3 linked regions of the Drosophila melanogaster genome follow. The protein of the gene in region 3 interacts with the protein of the main gene of each other region in a pairwise test. Each region holds a gene or a part of one and is shown on either strand. Other genes may lie near its edges. The genes, in order: slam, Sap-r and Nup133.

The links.
Region 1: the proteins of Nup133 (region 3) and slam interact in a two-hybrid assay, tested with the Drosophila melanogaster proteins (one large-scale study listed by BioGRID).
Region 2: the proteins of Nup133 (region 3) and Sap-r interact in a two-hybrid assay, tested with the Drosophila melanogaster proteins (one large-scale study listed by BioGRID).

Annotation. Positions count from the first base shown.
Region 1 is NT_033779.5:6,370,307-6,374,060, reverse strand, and holds the start of slam (slow as molasses), read right to left. Parts: upstream 1,674-3,754; 5' UTR 1,480-1,673; intron 766-1,479; 5' UTR 485-765; coding exon 1-484.
Region 2 is NT_033777.3:30,887,322-30,891,075, forward strand, and holds the start of Sap-r (Saposin-related), read right to left. Parts: upstream 1,742-3,754; 5' UTR 1,613-1,741; coding exon 1,564-1,612; intron 1,506-1,563; exon of another isoform or gene 1,419-1,505; coding exon 1,340-1,418; intron 1-1,339.
Region 3 is NT_033777.3:22,688,458-22,692,211, reverse strand, and holds the start of Nup133 (nucleoporin 133kD), read right to left. Parts: upstream 1,606-3,754; 5' UTR 1,513-1,605; coding exon 1,337-1,512; intron 1,282-1,336; coding exon 1,107-1,281; intron 1,047-1,106; coding exon 543-1,046; intron 492-542; coding exon 179-491; intron 124-178; coding exon 1-123. Other genes in the region: wfs1 (wolfram syndrome 1), read left to right, coding at 1,916-1,979, 2,039-2,137, 2,195-3,754. UniProt on the Drosophila melanogaster protein: Probable component of the nuclear pore complex (NPC). Plays a role in NPC assembly and/or maintenance.

The sequences.
Region 1 (3,754 bases), on a different chromosome or scaffold from region 3:
TTAGGTGGCCACTACCCACTTTTGGCTTGGGCGGCGTGACCGGATCCGACTGGAGGGCCAACTTGGCAATTGTGCTGGCCACTTTACCCGTGTTACCCGCTGCCTTGGTGGTACCCAGTGTCTTTGTTGGCGTCACAGGTACCTCTTCGTCGAAGTACTTCATCAGATTCTCGATGCTGGACAAGTCCAGGTCGGTAACCTGCACTCGGCGCGGTGATGCAAACGAGTTTTGGTACTCCAGGGCGGTCAGGAAGCGATCATCATCCAGCGAGGAAATCTCGAAGAGTTCCTCCCTGGTCATCGTAGCTCGGAGCAGGCCACAGGCGGTGCTGGCATCTCCGTGGCGGCTGGAGCGACGACGTTCCTCGATCTCCGCGTTCAGCTGCAGTAGCTCGCTGAGATCATCACTGTTCATGGCTGCCGTGTCCACTACCATCTGGTTGTGCTTGGACTGGTTGTTCGGCGTGGAATTGCTTAGGACCATTTTGGTATTAGTTTGCTGTCTTGTTGTTGACGTTAGACGTTTCAGTTTGTAACTGTGGCTTTCTGGCATTTTGCTAATAGCTTATATACAATGATCAGGTAAAATATGGATTGGGTGCAGATTTTATTGCCCACCCACTGCCTCAGATTTTCCTTAATCCAACTAGCAGCGATCAGGTAAGATTAACAGCCGCAGCTGTCGGATCGATGGATTTTCCTCGCGCTAACCGATATTTAATTATTTTCGCGAACCTTTCCGCTATAAATATATATCCAGGTGACCTGAAACAAAGAAAACAGGTAGGTAATATTAGGGCTGTGCAATAGATGTAAAATGTAAGGTTCTGGAAAGAAGGGATAACCGAGGATTCACTCGAAAGACAGCTGACGGAAAGTCCTTAAAATTTAAATTCCAATTATTGCAGTAACTCAGCGAAATCAACTCCCAGCATCATCATTATACTGCAACCGAACGAATTTTCCGAGAAAAATGCGAATGTTAACAAGACCCAGGCGAATTGCAGCCACAATAAAAATCACACACTGAAAATTCTTCATCTGACTATTGCTGAAATTTGGAGCGAAAACGAACCGAATTCAGGACCCCAGGGATAAGCAGAACTTTGCTTGCAGTTTGCCACAAAGTGACTTTCACACCGACAGAGCCATAAAATGAAATCAGGGGCTGAGATTTGCGGATGCTCAGGTGGCAGAGCTGGAGCTGATGAGTTACAGAGCTACAATGATAAGTTCCATAATGGGATACATCTTTTAACTGCCTGATATTTAACGATTTTATCTTTAATTTTTGGTTTTAATGCGCTTTTTTACTTTTAGCAAAACGGAGTGCCTATTTTTTTATCACAAAGCTGAAGTTGTTTACATGGGAAGGGTATACTTTCCAAATATTCCAAATTTTCAAGACAAAAGCGTTCTCTAACCCTTTTTTGGGCTTTCTAAAACAGGCCGGCTATTTATATAAATTAGTTAACTTACTTTGTTAAGGATTTCCTTGTTGAACTATGATCTACTTTAGGCAACACAGTATTTAACACGCACAACTTCATAAACAAATTACAAATTAATTTTGTAAACAAAAGACCGCGAAAAAGCGTGGTTATTTGCGCCAAATAACATAGTACATTTACATCGATCTAAGGGCTCATTTGCCGGCTTTACGGAATATCACAGCTGATAATAAAGCCAATCACCACGAATTAAGAATCAGCTGATTGAATCAGCATCAAAGCTCAGTGCTTTTTAAACCGTAAACTAATCTAGACTTTAAATATCATCATGGGCTCAAGAAAATGATTAGAATGTCAATAACTTATATTCTAGGCAGACCAGTGAAGATATGAGAATTCGATGGCTATTAACGGCCAAAACGGCTTACAACTCAATGATACGATAAATTCAAACGGATTGCTCCCGTGGCCTGAATTCTATCAGACGTGCCTTTATTGGTATCTGAATATATTGCTATTTAAGCCAAAAGAGGCACACCAAAATCATTCAGATGGACAGTAGTTGGTCAGTTGGCAAATACCCCAAATGACAAACAAAGCAATCCCCGAAATACCATTCGACGGTGAAAAACATTTACAAACATTGTGGTCGCCAACAGCAGCGGCAAAAATTTAGTGGGTGCTTTATGATAAACTCATGTGGCTGGCGTTCCATATCCAACTGGAATGGACGGGGACGCAGTGGTTCCACTTGCTAAGTAGCCACCGCTTCTGTCGGCGACACCGGAACGCGAATATTTGGTTTCAGATTTTGGGCACTCAATGCAGGGCCATGCAATTTTGAAAATCTGAGCGGCGGCATGTACCCCGCTTTATCAGTGCGGGTTAATTAGACACTACCAGTTCTGTAATGTTGGCAATTATTTCATTGCCGCAAAATCCGTTTACTCGCATAACATGCCCACAATCGGTCTGAATGACGATGCGCGACTTGTAATTTCATCAGCCCTATCAGTCCGTCCGTCCGTCTGTCAGTCTGTCTGTCTGTCTGTCTTCCAGTGCGCCACCTTCGCTGGCAAATCAATCAATTCCGCACAGACCCACATACATACATACATACTTACTCCGCCGAGCGAGCGCACGTGACATGGAACCCCGAGTGGCGGGCAAGACCGCCGGAATCCGGGGGTCAAGGAACGAACCTCAGCCGAGCCGAGTGGAGCACCGCCGTGGCGATCAGAAGCAGCGAGTTTGTTGCTGGCTTCCGACTAACACCACACCATTCGCAATTCGCTGCTCCGATTGCGTCACTCGGCTTTCCGCGTTCCGCTGGCCAAGCGGTTTATTTTAAAACTAATTATAAGCCAGCCCAAATATAATGCACAGCCGCTTTGAATTACATGAATGAATGAAATTCAGCACTGATAAGCCGTTCGACGGAAAGAGGAACTGCTGGCCATATCGCAATAGCCCACACTCAGCATAATGTAGCCGCGTTGGATGAGCTCTGGAATTCAGACTGCTAAAGATGTGTTTATCCTTTACATTTTGCTGACTCACAAGAAACTAGAAAATAATCTGAAACATACCAAATTGGAACCGCAGAATATTGATTTAGATGACTGAGCCCCACACCCCATTTCACATGAGTAGCTCGAGTGTCTCGAGGCATACGTTCTTTATCGCAGAATCAATTCAAGTTTCCCGTTTCTAGTCCATTTGTGGGGCAAAGACAAACGTACGGTCGCCCATTCATCGGAAACAACCACGATTTGGGGCTGACCGCTGTTTGACACGCGGCTCACGCGCTATCATCCCGGCAGGTTGTTAATGGCCCATTAATGCGGTTGCCAGGCGAAACCGACCGCTTGCCACGCGCCTTCAAGACCCACGCGGCGTATGAGCGATTTGCGCGACGACCTTCAACAAGTTGCACAGTGCAACCACCGACTTGGGGCCGGGATTTGGAATCTAAGTCGGATTCTGGATGGTCGTCGCCCTCTGGGCTGCCGTCTGCTCCGCGCAGGATGGGTGTTAATTAGCAAATAAATAAAAGCACGCCGGGTAACACATACGCACCGTGGGCAAGCAAGGAAAAGCACACGTGAGCTCTTCGGCAGAGGAAATCGGCAAAAGTTCAAGGTGCACAAACAGAGTCGAAACATTTTGTACTTTTAAAAAGGTTCTCGCTCACACTGTTAAATATTTCGACTGAAGGAAGCATCCCATTTTCTTTATTTCCTCTGCGTAGGTGTGAGTACCTACCCCCCTATTTTTTCAGTGCCTGACAGCGAACATCCTGG
Region 2 (3,754 bases), 8.2 Mb from region 3:
CTATATTTGTTCAATATAAATCGATTTGACTGATTCGAACGGAAAGTGCTAATTTCCATTAACATGAAGAGACGCCTGCGGTGGAATCGCCAGGAATACCAAACAAAAGCGTCTAAATAGCAAAAAATCAGCACTGATAAGCACGGAAATAAACAGTACATATGTATGAATGATATATCTGGACGTATCCACGTATATATTATTCACTTGGCTGCGCATTCACAGATATTGTTTTCTGAATTTTCAACAGCAATGGCGACGTTTTTAATTTTTGACACTCTGCAATTGAGAAACAAAGAAACGGTTAAGAGCCAGAAATGGCGGATTTTCCTGGCCATTTAAAAATAAATCAATCAATAAACAAAGGAATTACGACTAGCGATAAGCGATGGATGGGTGCTTAACAAATGTTTTCAGTTGCCTATTGATCGCTTTTACTCTATTAATGATGCAGTCCATGTAAATGTTTTCAAGTTTATCTTGGTGTAACATACATACATATGTACGTACAGTATAGCTTCTGTAAGGTGATCCTTTGTGGCCGCAATGTAATATCACTCCATTGAGGAATTTACAATTGTGAGTATGGCTAAGATAAGGGTTTCAAGTGCATTGTGATTGTGTTAAGGCTTAGAAGTTGCACTTTCGGATGTTCCCCTGTACTCATCATACGCCTGAGGGATTAGTCAGAATTCGTTGATAAGGAACAACTGTTGCCGCCTACAGCGAATTAACAATGATAAACAAAGCAATCATGTGGTTTGTTTGGCGGTGCACAGAAAAGGGAGCTGTGTCAAAACGATCTGCTCCTCTGGATTACTCATGCATATAATCGGTGTCGATAAAGTTGTGCCCCCTACGAGCGCTTAACTCTGCCGTCTAAATGTTCCGACTGGCGGTACTGTTAATTTGATTTGTACAGCGAATGTGCAGACAAAGGAAATCCAGAAATATGGGATATGAAGGCAGAGAGTATTGCGAAAAGTGCACTCAGAGAAAACATCGAGTCTGTAAAACAATACAACGCAAAATAAGGGGACGCAATTAGAGCGGCACTAGTGTTAAGTTTGCAATAACAGGGGTTATCGGCGAATAGAGCTATGTAGAGCAAAGTGATTCGATTCCCGATTCGAGTGATAGTCTTATCGGCCGAGAACAAAACAGAACAGACGAGTCTTCGCTGCAAACAATGGGCAAGTGAGGCGGAGAAGTAATATCGCTATTTGGAGGGGGGTTAAGAGAGGTTAGCTTTTCGCCTTCGAGAACTTTGTGGTGTTCGATGACCAAGCGATTTATCCGAATATACCGTTTATTGTATCACCCACTTTTTTGCACTCACCTGAAATTTCCGCACCAGTAGGAGGGTCCCCAGGTGCACTTGCTGGAGCCCAAAAGGGGCGTGGCAGCGGCGAAGACGCCTGCAAGAAAGCAAACAAACAAAGAGAGCAACGGTTGAGGAACAGAGTGCACAGCACGAATACGCAATAAGCTATGACTAAACTATTATTGTGGTTCCCTTTCAACGTCGCTTTTCGCACTTCTCTCCATCTCTTCTCCACTCACCAAAGGCGCAGCACAGTGCCAAAACGGCCAAGAGGCCTGCTCTCTCCATTTTCCCGGTTTTAACTGTACTTCTTAAATGTCGGCGGAGATAGTCCTCTATTTGCAGCTACGTATTTATTTCTGAACGAAAACTGAAGTGCAATTGCAACGATTGGTTCAATTTTTTATTTGTCTGTAGTGTGGCCGCCGTCTGTTTCGTCAAATATATACCGTAGCGATATAATAGTGCGACCAGTCAGCGATTGAATTATTGTTAAATTTATTTAACGATACTTATGGAGCAAGACTTGGATAATGCTTTTAGCATAAAACCAACCCAGTGTATACTTAGCAATCAGGGGGGAGCATGGACTCGAACCGCACTCTGTTAATAACAGAGATCTGTTTTTGCCTTTCAAAAAGCCATAAAAACCTCCGAGGAAGCTATCATAAAATGGGGTCAGCAAATCATTAAACTTAAAATGGTATAATAAACAATTAAGTAACCGATATGAAACTATTAGATTTGGGCCACCTTTCTATAGGGTGTTAAGTACATGGAGTACTTGAATACGTTGTCCTTCAAATTATAACTTCAATTATCGTAGAAGAAAATTATTGCTCCTAAAGTCGGAACAATTTATTAAATCACTCACTCAATCAACAAACAAAGCCTTCGCCACCCGCAAATGCCTCACAATGTATTTATAATCGATTGCAATCCGCAGATTTAATTACATATTGCCGCGACGAAACTATGACAATAACCATCAGCGATGTTCTTGAACTTAGCGCGGTTATTAATACGCCCCTTTTTGCCCAGCCCCATCGCTTAACCCCCCTTTGGCCAACTTGGCCAACTGTGCGACGTGAACTGGCAGGCACATGATTAAATTCTATTGTAATTGCGGGTTAATTGATGTGAGCCTGCCCAGATGTAAAGCTCGCAGGCATAAATGTTGGGGAAAATGCATCTCACTCGTAATGGCCGGCTAGTAGATTTTTCTCGCGATGCCTATCGGCGTGTAATTCTCGATTCCGAGGTGCGTATCAAGATCTGTGTGAGAATCGTCTGAAGATACATTCGCAAAGAATGCCAGACACATTCTCACAGCGATTGAAAGTCGAGGTCATCTGGTGGTGTTTGCCCAACGAAATGCCAAATGCAAGCGCCGATCCGGCCAATACGGCCATAACATGGCTATATCTGTGTCAAAACCAACGATTTGGCTGTTCAGGGGCTTAGAAGGAAACCTGAAACCTGTCGTGTTGACCGTGGATTGCAACGCCTGCCGTGCATTTCGGTTCTTTGACGGAGATTAACCCACTGAGACCTTGCTGAAATACTTGGTACTTAGAACCAAAAATTGTGGAAATATTAAATTGCACTCGATTAAATAGGAATTGAATTTAAGGTTTATGTGACCTTAGGCGAGGTACCATGGGGTAGTAGAGGGTTAATTGCAGCCAGACACTGCACTTGACACTTGAAGTCTGGCTGCGAGATTGATATTATGGCAATTGAGTGGACCGCCGCCAAAGAACAAGTAATCAAGTTCAGCAGTGAAGGAAATTTAGGCAATTAACACGCTTATAAGTGAAGCAGTAAATCATTGGACTAACGTTTAATTTCGGAGTTTCAAGAGCGAGATAATTTTCTGCTTTTATCCGCTTTTTTATGTCATTCATAAATTTGTTTACTCTAGAAGCGACTGCTTGTTTGGGTCTTTGAATTCAGCCAAGCCAAGTTATAGTCGGACAAAGTACAAAGTACGCCTTTTATTCCCTCCCAATTAACTTGGTCAAAAATCAGGTTCGGAAAGAATTAAATGCATCCATCCACAAGAGTGAAATTTCCGGCAGTTCACACGCTGGCAGATAAAATCGAGGCTCGAGATACATTTTGTGTTGAGTGACCCGCGGAGAGATTGGTAACAACTCTAATTGCCGCGATTGCCAAGTGCGTCACATAAGGCCCGTCTAATGGCTAATTGTTTATGGCCACTTTGGCTGACCTCTTGGGCAATTTCCCTTTCCCTATCCATGAAATCCGCCTGAAACTCCGAAACAGTTACTTTGGGGTAGTCGCTTTTCGGAGATCAGAGAACGTAGCTCACTAACTACTGCCTCACCATGCGGAAATGAACTTGACCTTATCGAGGGGCTAAAAGACCGCTAGCCACAGCCAAATGCCAGCTAATCAATTCAGCCA
Region 3 (3,754 bases):
TGCTGCCTACTACAAAACGCACGCTGAGGCAATCCTCCTCAGTCTTGGCACTAAAGAATTTGTTCATATTGAGCGGCGTGAACGATTCCAGAAGCATTCTTTCAGCTTGAGCAGTGCCAGTCACTAAAATACTTAACATTATATACCATATCAAGATTTGCTGTCACATACTTCTTACCCAGAGCGTAGCACATTTGTGGAGCGTGAGCAGCATTCACAGCTCCAGCCAGTATATAAGCTTTGTTCTTAACCACGTGAAAGTCCAACAGATGGAGATCGATCTCCAAACTATCCGCTGGGAGTCGGAACTTCCAAAAGTTCGTTATAAACTCTTCGCGTATCCTGCGCAACATATCCGCATCCTCGTACAGAAGGTTTTCGGTGTTGCCATTGTTGGACAGACTCCAGCGCTGGATTGCACGATCAGAGAGCACGGCCACAATGGTTTCTCCACTTTCTAAATTGCTCTCGCAGCACATGCCGACCAAAGTCTAAAAAACACTTCATGAGATTTTTGTCCCATGCTGGACGAAGATACTTACTTGATCCTTGTCTGCACCCGTGTTCATTCCAATCAAAATGGAGGCAAACTTTTTGCCAAAACCACCAAGGAAGCTAGTGGCAGGCTTGATAGTCTTATGGTGAAGTGTGTAACGTCCGTTGGTCAGTCCGACTCGCAGGAATACCAGATTGCAGGTGGTTGTAACGGCTAGGTAGCCCTGCTGCGTTGGTAGACTGAGCAGCTGGACAAACTCTTGGCCAGTTAAGATGGAAAGATCCACGGAGTTCCCATCGTGCGCAATCGATGACCAGTACCGAACTTCTCCCGTGGCTGATACCGCTATGCAGGAGGCCATTTGCTGACCCTCCGTCTGGAAAACACTGATTAAATCACTCTTGTGACCCAGGTCACTGTAAGGTAAAGTCAATTCACGGCACTGGGCCAGACCACCACCACGTCTTGCCAGTTTGCCCACACGAGGTGGCGAGCCCGACTTGGCCGTGTCCTTATACTGCCAAATCAAGAGGCGTCTGCCTTGGACAACCTGAAAAGGTAATCGTACTGATTGCTGAACCAGATACAATGAGAGTTGCTGATATATTACCCAAGCCCAACCGTTTTGCGTCACTTTGGCTGTTACTGTGCCCGCTCCTGGACCTGCGAAGGTTAGTGCCTCATTGACCACCACCGGCAGTGGACAACCGAAGCTCTCTACCGAATTGTAATCGGATCGGATGCCGGCAATGGACTGAGTGGAACGCACCGACAAGCTGAGCCGGCTGAAAAGGATTGTTTGATGAGTGGGAAATTCCAGGAGAATAAGTTAGCACATACCTGTTGGTCAGGGCAGTCCTTTTGAGGCTCCCCGACATCTGGGCGCAACTGGCGCTGCCGCCAAAAATTGATTTACGCGTGCTGTCTGCCGAGGCTGCTGGCATGCTGTACCTTCGTGCACCTGGTGAAGATTCGCGCGATATGCCGTATAATTGCTTCTGCAGATTTCTCTCCATTTTTGTGCTGGCTCTTATTTGGGAAATGCCTATAAATCAAAAATAAACAACTACTTTTGCAACAGCAAACAATCTAGCCGGCATGTGTGTGAATCGATTTTTGATGTCGCAATATCGAAATCACAGCTGAGTACATTTGAGTTATTTATCGATTAGAAGTCACGACATTATACACAAAGAACACAAATTTAAATATAGGAAATTATTTATACTACATAAATGTATTTTATATACTATATACGATGAATAATTAAACTTTGGTAAACAAATTTTTAAATTAATAATTATATTAACTAATATTTGTGAGTCCATCTCTAAGACAAGTTCTACACGATGCCATCGCTAAGTCAAGACTAGAATTATTTCATAGATTTTCGTAAACAAAGCGAAAAACTCGACATAGATGGCCACCTGGACGCAAAATGAGCCGACAGGTGTCACCAAGCGCAGGCGTTGGAATCTGGAAGGTAAATCTCTGAGCTTTGATTGATACACGTTCATAAAGTGAAGATGTTTTCCCTTACAGATCGTGCCTCCTTGAACAAACTTAAGCATCACATCGCCGAGGAGGGATGCCCCCAGATGCAATACGATCTGGCCAAAGAGTTACTCGATAATTCCATAGGTGAGTGTAAGGATTTGCTCGAGAATTACAAGATAATGAAGATTGCTATGTCCGCAGTAGAGCCCAATCTTGCCAAAGGCAATCAGAGCCAGAAGGCCGTCAACTGGCTGGTGAGTGCAGCACACAATGGACACGAGGATGCAGTCAAGCTGCTACGCCAGTGCTACAACGATGGCAGCGGTATTACGGCAGAGAATACGGACGAAGTGCGTCGCTGCCTGGCTATGACGCCTGGTGAGCGGGCTGCCAGAAAAGCAGCCCGGGAGCTTTTTGCCTGCCTATCAAATGGAAACGAGCATATAACGCCCAAGCAGCTGGAGCGCAAAATGCGGCGCATCTACAATCTGCAACGCAAGCGGCGTCGACGCGATGATGACCGCTCCTCGTCGAGCAGCGAGGGCGAGCAGGAGCCGGAGTGCGAACCGCTCGAAGATGTGCCCACCATTGACCTAGCCAATGTGGAGCGACGCCGCCTCATCACCGAAGCTCACCTCGTTTCGGCAGCTTCCAATTACAGTGCCGGACAAATGCCCAGCGTTAATGATGCTCTCACATTATCCGTCCCGGATCCTAGGAGCTTGGACCATGTACCCTGCTTCTACCGCATGATCTTCCACCCGCTTATCTTCTTCACCCTGTTCTACCACCGGCTGCTTAACTTGATTGTGTCCATACCCAACGTCATCCCTCTGAGCGTGCGCTGCAGCGTGCTCGTTGCAATCTCTTGGTGGAGCAGCCGGCATATGCTGCCCCTGGTCAGCTATTATCTCAGTCTGGGCATCATGATCTGGGCCACGTGTAAGATGCTGAAAACCAAACAACAGTTCGTGGACTTTCGCATCTGGTCGGGACTGTTCCTGAGCTACGGGGATCAGAACATCGAGGCGGACATTGCGGAGCATCGCTTTTTACGCAACAATATGAAGCCGTACCTGTACTTCTTTTGTGCCTTCATTTGCAACCTGATTGTCTACCCGTTGGTCACAGACGCCTGGCTGCCACACTCGGAGCTGACTATAATCTCTGGAGCCTTGACCTTCATCACCATGTGCGTGTCCATGTACGCCTCCTCCCACCAACTGCCTGACTGGCTAGTGATTGTTTCCTTTGCCGTAAATGTTCTTGCCAAATATCCGTACGAAATGGACGAGGTTGTGTCTACGCGCTGGCGCTTTCTTGACCTACGCGTACCTACTTTCTCATCGTTTGTCATTGGCAATGGCATTGAATTCTGTTTGAATTGCCGCACTGCCTTGTATCTCTTTATTCCGGTGCTGCTAATTATGATGGCCAAACGCTCCCGTTGGCATGGAGTCTACACATTCCTCATCCCGCACTGCGTCACGCTCAGTTGGCTGCAAGTGTGCATAGCCACCTCGCAGAGTTCCACCGTTTTTGGAGTGATGCGAGCAGCCCTCGGCTTGGCTGGAATCGTCCTGTTCCTGCCTCTGTTCGGAATCGTGGCACTTCTGGTGCCTGTCTTCGTGGCCATCGATAGTTTAGGACTGGCTAGTGAGCAGCTTCGGTGGGGCAGCACAGCTCTCGCCTGCGGGCTGGTAGTGGTCCTGTCCTGCATTTTGGCGCTTAACCGAGCTACCCAGAAATACATTACAATGC